2 linked regions of the Xenopus tropicalis genome follow. The protein of the gene in region 1 purifies or fractionates together with the protein of each later gene. This does not show direct contact. Links are inferred from orthologs where the notes say so. Each region holds a gene or a part of one and is shown in the gene's direction. Other genes may lie near its edges.

The links. The genes of interacting proteins can lie anywhere in the genome.
Region 2: the proteins of mkln1 (region 1) and gid8 purify together in Homo sapiens (affinity purification with mass spectrometry; 4 studies listed by BioGRID and IntAct, with this or other methods). This does not show direct contact. The link is inferred for Xenopus tropicalis from reciprocal best matches to the Homo sapiens genes MKLN1 and GID8.

What each region holds. Positions count from the first base shown.
Region 1 is NC_030679.2:84,994,859-85,001,409, forward strand, and holds the start of mkln1 (muskelin), read left to right. Parts: upstream 1-2,644; 5' UTR 2,645-2,792; coding exon 2,793-2,866; intron 2,867-6,551. UniProt on the Homo sapiens protein: Component of the CTLH E3 ubiquitin-protein ligase complex that selectively accepts ubiquitin from UBE2H and mediates ubiquitination and subsequent proteasomal degradation of the transcription factor HBP1.
Region 2 is NC_030686.2:2,366,263-2,372,227, reverse strand, and holds the end of gid8 (glucose-induced degradation protein 8 homolog), read left to right. Parts: intron 1-2,132; coding exon 2,133-2,255; intron 2,256-2,905; coding exon 2,906-3,102; intron 3,103-3,362; coding exon 3,363-3,560; intron 3,561-4,387; coding exon 4,388-4,561; 3' UTR 4,562-5,345; downstream 5,346-5,965. UniProt on the Homo sapiens protein: Core component of the CTLH E3 ubiquitin-protein ligase complex that selectively accepts ubiquitin from UBE2H and mediates ubiquitination and subsequent proteasomal degradation of the transcription factor HBP1.

The sequences.
Region 1 (6,551 bases):
ATTGCTCACAAGGTCTCTCAGTTTCAGCAAATTCAGTCCACACCGGCCAGGAAATTTATGAGTCTTTTGGGCCTCCTAACATCGACTATAGGCCTAGTCAAATGGGCCAAATGGAGGATGAGGCCTATCCAGCTATCCTTCCTGAGGCAGTGGAACTTAGTGACTCAGAATTGGTCACAGAATATCCAAATTACCAGGGATTGCAGGAAGCATCTAGAATGGTGGAAAGTATCCAGAAATCTTGGGGAGCTCGTCTCCTAGATCTTTATGCTCAGGGAAGTTGGTCGGAAGATCTGTCCGAGACTCCTTCCAATGTTCTGGAGCTCAGAGCGGTTTTTCAAGCACTCCTGTCCTTCAGAGAGGCCCTTCTGGGTACTGCTGTGAGAGTCAGAATGGACAATGCTGCGGCTGTAGCGTATATCAGAGGCCAAGGGGGAACAAGGAGCAAGACCTTATTCAGGGAGACAGCCCCAATCATGGAAAGGGCACAGAATCACCTTTTAGACCTGACTGCTCACCATGTCCTGGGAGCTCAGAATGTAGAAGCGGACTATTTGAGCAGACATCTCCTACCCTATGGGGAGTGGGAGTTGGACCAGAAGATATTCAGCTGGCTAGTGTCTGTTTGGGGCTGCCCACAGGTGGACCTGATGGCAACAGATCTGAACTGCAAACTTCTGATCTTTTTCTCCAGAGCCCCTTGTCAAGGTGCAGCAGCGGTGGATGCCTTCTCTCAGGATTGGGAGGGCCTATTCGCGCATATCTTCCCTCCAATCTTGATTATCCTGAGAGTTCTGCAGAAGATCCTATTAACCAGGATGGAGGTCATCGATATTCTCCCAGATTGGCCGAGGAGACCTTGGTATCCACTCCTGAGGCATTTGCTAGTGGCAGACCCTCTGCCACTTCCGAATGTCAGGGACCTTCTTCTTCAGGGCAGATGGAGACACCAACATTTTTTCTAGTAGCTCTCACATTGGCCCGCCAGATCAGTGAGTTGCAAGCGCTTTCTGTTGACCCTCCTTATACTGTTTTTCATGGAAAAGAAAGTGGTTCTCAGACCTATCCTTAGTTTTCTACTGAAAGTAATTTCTAAGTTTCACAGCAGGAAATTAACCCATCCAAACCCCACCCAAATAAGTGGGCTTTTGGCAGAGAGCCCAGAAAGTTAACAAGCCACACCTGCACTGAGATACAGTTGTAACTAATAAGCTAAACAGGTCTCATGGGGGAACTAAGGCTGATGCCACACGAGGCGTAGGGCTGATATTTTCGGCAAGCGGAAAAACCCTTGGCGAAAATTCAGCCCTACGCCTGCTACTTGTGCCTGCACCCAAATGAATGGAATACGCTCGGGTGCAGGCACATGTAGCCGATATACGCATGAAAACGCGAGACTTTGCATTCTCACGCGTTTTCATGCGTATATCAGCTACATGTGCCTGCACCCGAGCGTATCTCATTCATTCGGGTGCAGGCACAAGTAGCAGGCGTAGGGCTGTATTTTCGCAAAGTGTTTTTCCGCTTGCCGAAAATATCAGCCCTACACCTCGTGTGGCATCAGCCTAAAGGACAAAGGGCAATTTCAGCTTTTTTTAACAAACCTCTAATAACACATAAAACAAGAAGCCAAAACCCCAAGAAATGTGTTCAAACTTTTAATAACCTGCCAAATTTAGTCAAATGGGAGTGGTATTTAGGGGGTGTGGTTGCAAAAATGGGTGTGGTCAAAAAAATTTGCTGCACTGCTTGGGGCATTTCTTTTTGTCTCTCTTTCCATTTTCAAAATGTTGGGAGGTATGCTTTAATGCCAACAGGGGGAAGTATAGAAAGTGTGAAAATTTGCTCATATATGCATCAGAATACAATGCGGCATATTTTTGCTATACTTAGCAATATTAAGCACGTTTGTGGCAAAAATGGTTGCCACATTTGCTATGGGAAAAATCAAAAATATTGGAAGCAAAATTGTGACATCTAGGGCAGACCAGGGTTGTTTGGGGATAGAGCCATGACAGGGAGGGGCTATGTCACTATTGGGCTGATGTTTGTGCAGGTACACAACACTTATACTGGGCCGGACAGCTGGCAACCCTATTTGCTTCTAGTTGTGTTTCAGTTCAGTAACGTATGGAGACTATGGCGCTATATGCCCAAAACAAATGCATCACGAGAAGAAATTGCTATTTTTGCAAAGCTTTCCTCAGTTTTGTGGGCAATTTCCACTGCAAATTGGAGAAAAGGTTTCATAGTTTACACAGCTCAGCACCAAAGGAGTAAACAAAACAAGAAACTAGTGGATCAGTTTTGCGCAAAACGCATAATTAGCAGCTTAGATTACTCCCTAAAGAAGAGGACAGTATGGAAAATATGAGACTCTGGTGTTATAAACGGCTTAATGCAAGCAGCAAATGTCTGTGTTTTACACTGTTACTTCCGTTTGCAATAAATTTCCACATAAATTGCTGTAATATGCATGGCGTTGCTTTGGCACCAGTGAATGTGCTTTTACGTACAGCCCCTGCTACTATTCAAGCAGAGCATGCCTGACTTCACTAACAAAAGCAACGTGGGGGAGTGGCTTTCGGCCATGTGTATTCACCGACGTAGACGCACAGTTGTCACTTGCTACGTACGTGGCGTGGTAAAATGACCCAGCCGTCACTATTGTCTCAGCTAAGCGAACAGACTGTGAGGCGGGCAGACGTCAGCTTTCTTCTTTCCCTTGCAATTGCCTTTGAGCACCTGTGTCTTTAAGAGACGCGCCCCGCCCCCGTCTTCCCGCTGACAAGATGGCGGCCGAGATTAGAGGATTACCTTATGCTGTATTTAAGTGGAGCTCGTTTTCTTCCAGTTATTTACCCGAGTAAGTACGAGAAGCTTCGTATGTTCACGTTATGCGGGCAGGCTTGCAGAGTGTAGTTGCTGTACGTCAAACATGACTTTGTGCATTAAAAGTTATGTTTACCGCTGGTATTCATGCATACACCGTATGTGTTTTGCCCCTATAGCCGTGTGTTATTTGTAAACAACCATAGCTTTAACATGTTAGTATTTATATGTCAGTAGCAGTTTATATATGTAGTTTATATTCTGTCTAAACATAAATAGCTTTTATGTTAGTTGTTTATTTGTATTATAAACAACCATATTTTATTCAAAGTACCAATTCTGTTTTACCTGTTAAGTGGCCTTCTAGAACTGTTAATTATTGTTAAAGTATATATAAAACCAACATATTCCTTAGTGTTGTACAGTAAATGGGTGTATATGTTACAACATACAATACGAATAATAACCAATTCAAGAGATAGAGCCCTGCCCAAAAGCGCTTGTAGTACATTTGTTAATGGTTAGTACATCCCATGTAGTTAGTTATTATTTCTTTTATATAACTTAGGCGTTTCCATCAGCATCATGCATAAGGGTGGGGACATGAAAACAAGTGCAGTACAGGCTTGTTTGTTAGGAACCTATCTGCAAGTTATACATCTGTTTAATAAGCACCGTTTTACTATTTATATAGCACCTATATATTAATAATAACTTTGTATATTGGACTTTACCATATGTGCAATGGTTAACCTTACCGGTATGTTTTTGGTTTGTGCCATGGTTAACCTGCCTGTGTTTTTCGACTGTGGGAGGAATCTAATGGAAGCAGAAGTAAGGAGAAACTTAATGCTGATAGTAGTTAGATAGTTAGAATTGAACCCAACTGCCATATCCACATCAGTATCAAATCTGGGCAATATTTAATGGGGGATAGAAATAGCTTGTATTACTGCTCATACATTCTGCAAGTTTTGTCTGGAGTTCCGACATGAAGCATGCACAGTTATTTACTTCTGAGTAGGTACACTATATGAACAAAGTGATCTCAACATCTGCCTGTCCAATATCTCTTTCCTAAATCAAATAGATTCTCCCTCTGTTCTTATAACATCCTCTACTCTTCTGGAAGACATTACACTAGATGTTGGAACATTGTTGGTGGGATTTGCTTTCATTCAGCTACAAGAGCATTAGTGAGGTTAGACATTATATCAAGGATCCCCAACCTTTTATACCCGTGAGCCACATTCAGATGGAAAAAGTTTTGGGGAGCAACACAAGCATGGAAAAAGTTCCTGGGGGTGCCAAATAAGAGCTATAATTGGCTATTTGGTAGCCTGTATGTAGACTGGCATTCTATAGAAGGTTCAAGGCCAGGGACAAAAGGATTGGGTTAGCCTGATATGGCAGCCAATGTGGCTCGCCAAATCGACAAAGATCATGTTGTTTGGTGGGTTCGCTAAAAGAGCTGAGTTCTCCTATTGCCAGCTTTTAGAATCCTTTACAAACCTCATGGTGTGGTCAAGGCACCTATATATTTAGTGTATGTATGTGTGTGTATGTGTATATATATATATATATATATATATATATCTCCTATCTATCTATCTATCTCAAATCAAACACAACCAGCACCAAGGGTCTTGTGGTTCAAACAAATATTAGTGTATTATACTTGCATGTACAACCGATGTTTCGGTCCCTTTTGGAGTATATTATATAGTAAAACACACAGACGCTAAATAAGTATTTTATTAAATGCAGTACATTAACTATTATCCTTTAGACACCCGAGTTAGTGCTGGAAGTTGAATTAAATAATTAACCCAGAATTTTTGGCTAGAATATCTTTGTGTTCTCAGTAAGATGCACAGACATCCCATTGGCACATCTGGCACTAACCCAGACCTGACCTTGTCAAAAGAACAAGAGTTAGATGAACTTCAATGGTTTGAAAAGTAAATAACCTCTGCAAACAGCAATGCTGAGAAGTTTTAATGCTCATTGAACAGAAATAACTTCTGTACTTTATTTCCTTGTGTGTTATGCAAATTAAATTTAATAACTGTAGTAATCGTTTGTGATAAACAAAAGGACTGGTGAAATTAGCATATATTGAGGGTTTTTTTGTGTATACAGTAAGTATTCTGTGTACTCACTCACTTGTGTAGCTTTAACCAGAAAGCTGCATGCTTTAGAATTTCAATACAGTAGTAGTTTTGTTTTGTTTTATTTTCCTACTTTTATAAAGAATACCAGCCTCTGTTGTGCACCTGTGTTCGTTTTTTGTGATTCTTCCATTAAATAAAAAACTTTGCATCAAGGTGACCACAGCATGCTTTTTTAAGTTCACCCTTATCCTTTATTTAATTAAAAAGAAAGTAATGCACTCAGAGGAAATCCACAAAAAATATTTGTAATAAGTGTTGTTAGTGATGCAGACTTTTCAGCCTTATGTCCCTACATGCCTAATTCTCAATGCGAATCTCAGAAATCCCAACTATGAGTTGAATCTCTGCTGTCTCAAGGTTGAAGACACACGGAGCTACTAGTAGCAGCTACTTTTTGTGGCTACTAATGCCAGAAAATATCCTGCCATAGACAATGCTAAGAATTGTCTCTGCTAAAACACGCTTAGAGACAATTATCAGTAAATGATCAGCATTGTCTATTTCAGTAGCCACGACAAGTAGCTGCTTTTAGTAGCTCCATGTGTCTTCACCCTAAGGGGGTATAATTAAAGATTTGTGGGCTGCTTCCTTGTTTTTTGTAGCAAGAAGTTGTATTGATTAAGTTACATTCAGCCTCAAAATATAAATACAAATAAAATATTGACAAGGTAACCAGTTTCCAGGTCCTGTTGTTGGAAATAGGATTTCTCAAATGCAGGACTGGTGCTACGCAGTTAGGTTTCTGTAAGGTGAATTATACTTGTGTTTTTTTTTTTTTTTTTTATATAGTCACACAATGGTTATTGGGGCATAGTATAGAGGCAGAGTCGGACTGGGAAACCGGAAAAAAACCCTTATGCGTGCTCAGGGAAGGACATCCGACAGGGGCCCTTGCAGGGGGGGGCGGGGGGTTAGGGAGGCTCGGGGGGGGGGACACCCTGTGGGGCTTAGGGGGTACAGCGGCAGCCCCTAGGGGGTACGGGGACGTGGCCAGTGGGGGCACCATGCCCTGCACCCCCCATTCCGGCCCTGTATAGAGGCATCTTTCCATATCCTTTGTCTTTATGACTTTTATTCTGTAGTGCAGCATTTCTGATGCATCTTGTGTTATGCATCCTCAGGCACACTGAATCCTTCCCTACACTGTAATAACAAAATCTACAGTGCTTTCAGTTGGTGCCACTGCAAGAGGCGATGTTTTTAATTTGACTTACATTTATTTTCTTACAGGTTTTAACTTGATAAAGAGCCAGACTTAGGCTACACCTTATAATACAGTGCCACAGATCACAGGCTAAAACTATATTTAACTCTGTAATATAAAACCCTCGTGCTTCATAGGTTTAATGCCAAATGCCCTATGATCTATCTATTTAATGAATAATCTGAGAAGTGCATGAAATATACTAAGCAGTTTAACATCTTACTTTATTCCACTGGCCATATACAAACTAAATTCTTTTAGTATGACTGTTATAAAATCAAACTTTATAATTTTTTTTCTGTTTCAGTCACACAAAAATGATGAGAAAAAATGATATACAG
Region 2 (5,965 bases), on another chromosome or scaffold:
CCCCTAATAAATCCTTCCCTACCCCAGTGCCCATCATCCTCCCCTAATAAACCCTTCCCTATCCCAGTGCCCATCATCCCCCCCTAATAAATCCTTCCCTACCCCAGTGCCCATCATCCTCCCCTAATAAACCCTTCCCTATCCCAGTGCCCATCATCCCCCCCTAATAAATCCTTCCCTACCCCAGTGCCCATCATCCTCCCCTAATAAACCCTTCCCTACCCCAGTGCCCATCATCTTCCCCTAATAAATCCTTCCCTACCCCAGTGCCCATCATCCTCCCCTAATAAACCCTTCCCTACCCCAGTGCCCATCATCTTCCCCTAATAAATCCTTCCCTATCCCAGTGCCCATCATCCCCCCCTAATAAATCCTTCCCTATCCCAGTGCCCATCATCTTCCCCTAATAAATCCTTCCCTACCCCAGTGCCCATCATCTTCCCCTAATAAATCCTTCCCTATCCCAGTGCCCATCATCTTCCCCTAATAAATCCTTCCCTATCCCAGTGCCCATCATCTTCCCCTAATAAACCCTTCCCTATCCCAGTGCCCATCATCTTCCCCTAATAAATCCTTCCCTATCCCAGTGCCCATCATCTTCCCCTAATAAATCCTTCCCTATCCCAGTGCCCATCATTCCCCCCTAATAAATCCTTCCCTACCCCAGTGCCCATCATCCTCCCCTAATAAATCCTTCCCTATCCCAGTGCCCATCATTCCCCCCTAATAAATCCTTCCCTATCCCAGTGCCCATCATCTTCCCCTAATAAATCCTTCCCTATCCCAGTGCCCATCATCTTCCCCTAATAAATCCTTCCCTATCCCAGTGCCCATCATCTTCCCCTAATAAATCCTTCCCTACCCCAGTGCCCATCATCCTCCCCTAATAAATCCTTCCCTATCCCAGTGCCCATCATCCTCCCCTAATAAATCCTTTCCTATCCCAGTGCCCATCATCCTCCCCTAATAAATCCTTCCCTACCCCAGTGCCCATCATCTTCCCCTAATAAATCCTTCCCTATCCCAGTGCCCATCATCCTCCCCTAATAAATCCTTCCCTATCCCAGTGCCCATCATCTTCCCCTAATAAATCCTTCCCTACCCCAGTGCCCATCATCTTCCCCTAATAAATCCTTCCCTATCCCAGTGCCCATCATCCTCCCCTAATAAATCCTTCCCTATCCCAGTGCCCATCATCCTCCCCTAATAAATCCTTCCCTATCCCAGTGCCCATCATCTTCCCCTAATAAATCCTTCCCTATCCCAGTGCCCATCATCTTCCCCTAATAAATCCTTCCCTATCCCAGTGCCCATCATCTTCCCCTAATAAATCCTTCCCTACCCCAGTGCCCATCATCTTCCCAAGCCCTGTGTCCTAATAAATTCTTCCCTATCCCAGTGCCCATCATCTTCCCCTAATAAATCCTTCCCTACCCCAGGGCCAATCATCTTCCCAAGCCCTTTGTCCCTAATAAACCCCTCCACACCTAGTGCCCCTGCCCACACCCAGGTGGCATAAATACTTTATACTCCAGCCTGTGTCCCCCAAACCCATTGCCACTAATACACAATCCTTTCCCAGGGCCCATTAACTCCCACACACTGTCTATAATCAAACTTACCCCTCCAAGTGCCCCTGTCCACATTCCAGTGCCACAGATACCTCATTCTATTCCTGTGCTCACTATTCCCTAAAGTCTGTGTCCGTAATAAATCCTCCCCTGTCCCAGTGCCCATCATTTCCCCCAACCCATTGTTCCGTATAAAATCTCTCCCATCCAAGTGACCATAATCCTTTTTCGTGTCACCAGTATTTCATCCAGCCCTGTGCCCTACATCCCCCAAGTCTTCTGTTATTTATAAACCCTTTCACATTCTAGTGCCTGATGCTTCTTCCTACCATAGCCCCTGCCCCCCCCCAGTCCTCTGACCCCACCTGTCTCTCTGCATTTGTGTCCCATATGCCCCGTCCCAATCAAGTGACTATAATTGTACCCTTCATGTACTGTGTCCCTAAAGCCTCCCCTGCTACCGAGGGTCCCTTGTCTTTCACAACCTCCTTACAATTCCGTCTGACACCTCGCTAATATGGCAAGTGGCTTTTTGTCTTATTTCATTTTCTTTTTTCAAAGTGACAATGAGTTACACAGAGAAGCCAGAGGAGATTACAAAAGAAGAATGGATGGAGAAACTGAACAACTTACATATCCAAAGAGCAGACATGAACCGCCTAATCATGAACTACCTTGTTACAGGTTAGAGAGGCAGTGTTAATGCTTTACCTTTAAACCTTCCTCTGTGTCCCCAGCCTTTAGGGCACCTTGGAAGGTCGCATATATATAGCAGCTTTGTTTATATAAACTATAGTAGTCTTTCTGATGCAAACACACAGCTTTAACCAGTGCAGGGCAACAGTAAATAATCTGTGAATAACTGATATACGTTCATCTTTTGGTGTTACTATTCCTTTAAAGGAGCACCCCTTTTCCTTTTGATGTATATAGACTGCTGAGTCTTGCTCTGAGGAGTTACCCTTCTATGTTGGGTCTTTCTCTTACTGAGCAGTTGTTTTGTACTTTGGCAGTTTTATAGCCTTTTATAGTCTTTTACACAAAACTGTTGGGCAATGGGATGGGTTGCAGCCACATATAGGTGACTGGGAACAGTTTTATGTCCAAGAAACATAGAATTAGCAAACTGTGTCCTATAGGGATCCTCGATACACCTTTGTACAAATGACTGTTCATGATTTAATGGGAATCATCAGTTTGCACTGGGGTTAGTATTGTAGGTAACTTATCTGCTCTCAAAATGCCGCTATATGGGACCCCTTACAACAAACCTCTTTAGACTCTTTAGGTTCTTACGAACCATGGCTGCTCATCTCACTCTTTTCCTCCCTCAGAGGGATTCAAAGAGGCGGCAGAGAAGTTCCGGATGGAGTCTGGAATCGAACCCAGCGTCGATCTGGAGAGCCTGGATGAAAGAATAAAGATCCGAGAGATGATTCTGAAGGGCCAGATTCAGGAAGCCATTGCTCTGATCAATTCCCTACACCCTGAGCTTTTGGATACCAACCGTTACTTGTACTTTCACTTGCAGGTTAGACCTTTGTGTTTGGGGCAGAGGACAGGGTAGGGTTCTGGTTGTTGGGGGTCTGACCATTCACCTGAATTTCTGTTATGTAACACTGCTGCAAGGTTCTGTTTGCTGTTAGACTTACATTTGCCCCGTGGGGGTCACTGGGCAGCTGTCTCACAGCATACACAGACACATGGGAAACTAAGGGAAGCATTCAGCACAGTTGGTATTCCTGAAATGTGTAAGTAATGGGTGGCTTTCTCTGCATTTGTGTTTTTCAGCAACAGCACCTTATTGAGCTGATCCGGCAAAGAGAGACAGAGGCAGCTTTAGAGTTTGCCCAGACCCAACTGGCAGAGCAGGGAGAGGAGAGCCGCGAGTGCCTGACTGAGATGGAGCGGACGCTGGCACTGTTGGCATTCGATAACCCAGAGGATTCTCCCTTTGGCGACTTGCTCAACATGATGCAAAGGCAAAAGGTGAGCAGCATAGTATCCCCTGCCACAGAATGATCTGTCAGATCAGTGTAATTGGTAATGTGTGGGTACATTGCACTGGTATCCCTCCCCTCCATACACTCTGGCTGAGACAAATGGGTTCAATTCTACTGGCAGAGACTGAATAGGCAAATATAATTCCCTTTTTAACACCCCTTCCTGCATTTGTTATTTCTTCTTGCCCCTTCCCTCTCACCCAGGACCACAAGGGGGCAGTATCCGCTCCAAGCAAACTGAATGCAGTTCCGCACTTCTATTATCTGAAAACAAACAAGTGACATTGATTTTTGCCTTGAAGGCTGGGAGAGAATGCAAAGTAGGGAGGAAGCAATACCTACATAACAAGTTAACAGTGAAATTCCAAAATCTATAATCATACTATCCCAAACAACATATGGGTGCATCCCAGTGCCACATGATCCCCATGCTCCGCCCTCCTTATGAGTTTTACACCTTTGGGTGCTTCATCAGAGGAGGTGAGGCATTATTTGAGTCATTTTCCTTATATACCCTCCACTTATAGTTTTTATATATATTCAAATACAACAACTTTATTAGGAGGTGTATAATAAGGCAAGAGACTATAATACAATTAGTGTGTTTTTGGTTTTTTGCCTCATTATAGTTATTGTTATGTAGTTTATGTATAGTCAGGGCCTTGCATTAAATGGCTTCCTTCTCTATCATATATTGTTTTATAGGAAGCAATAAACATGTCAGTCCTACTGTTTAACCCCATTTAACCCCCATAATACAATATTTCTAACTATATAACAGCGCCAGTAACCTGAAGTCCCCTTCTCTGGCAGGTATGGAGCGAAGTCAACCAAGCCGTCCTGGATTATGAGAACCGCGAGTCCACCCCTAAACTGGCAAAACTGCTCAAGCTGCTCCTCTGGGCTCAGAACGAACTGGACCAGAAGAAAGTTAAATACCCCAAGATGGCTGACCTCAGCAAAGGGACAGTGGAAGAGCCCAAGTAACGCCCGATTTGACGTCACAGGAACTCACGGAACATTTGCCTGTGCGCCCCACGTATTCTCAGTCTGTGACGTTTGTACTCCACGCACAGCGACAGGGAGAAACCTCTCACTCCTTGTCCTTTTTCTCTCACATCCCTCCCTGGTACAGGAGGAAATAGGCTGTGAGGCAGGTTCACTCAGTATTTCCCATCTCTGCTGTGCCAGGGGGCAATTGCTTTGGCTGCTGGTCTATAAAGGAATTAGCGAGCAGTCTAACTATGCACCAAGACCTCCTTGCAGTCTACTCATATGGTTTGTAGTAACATCTCCCATTATGTGTTGGGTCCTGAGTGCTGAAACTTTTTATATCAGTTTTTGCTTTCTAAAACACTCTATCCGGTGCCGAATGCAAGTGATCCTAGAGGCAATTACCCTTCCTACACCAGTTATTGCCCCATCCTGCAGTGCTCGCACAACTACAAGATTAACGTGCAGTCTGGGGGGGGGGGTTATATTCATGTTTTCTTTCTTCTGCCTGTTCTTGGTAGTGAGCGTGTTAACCAGTCGTGCAAGCTTTCTGCCCCGCGGCAAATGTAATACAGTTTAATAGACGCAGAGTTGGTTGGACTAATATGTGTTTGGGAGGGTGGATTTGGGCAGGTTGTGCCAATCGGTTGTTTATACAGAAGTTTCCCAAAGTAAATGTCATGTTTGATGTATTGGCTGTGAGCCCTGCTTGCTGGGAGGGATTTCTGTCTATCTCTCCTGGAAGGCATTTGATTTTTATTAAATAGAGTAAAAACACCTTTTATTGTAAGGATCATATAAAGCAGGGGTCCTCAAGCTACAGCCCACGGGCCAGATACGGCTCCCCCCAAGGTCATTTACCTGGCCTCCGCTGCATCCTCACCCCTTGCTATTACCTCTTTGCCTCAGAGTGGCCCTCTACCCCAGTGTGTCACATCACTGCGCCCCACAGGCGGACTTGTCCAGCGCCGGTAATGTGAAGTCCCCTTCTCTGGCAGGTGTGGAGTGAAGTCAACCAAGTGTCCAGCGTCATTAGCGTTGGCCGGTGGGATGCGGTGACATTATGCACTGGGGCCGAGGCAGACAGGTAGTACCCGGGGTGAGAACATGCCAAGCTGGGGTAGTAGCCAGGGGTGAGAACATGCCGAGCTGGGGTAGTAGCCAGGGGTGAGAACATGCCGAGCTGGGGTAGTAGCCGGGGGTGAGAACATGCCGAGCTGGGGTAGTAGCCGGGGGTGAGAACATGCCGAGCTGGGGTAGTAGCCGGGGGTGAGAACATGCCGAGCTGGGGTAGTAGCCGGGGGTGAGGACATGCCGAGCTGGGGTAGTAGCCGGGGGTGAGGACATGCCGAGCTGGGGTAGTAGCCGGGGGTGAGAACATGCCGAGCTGGGGTAGTA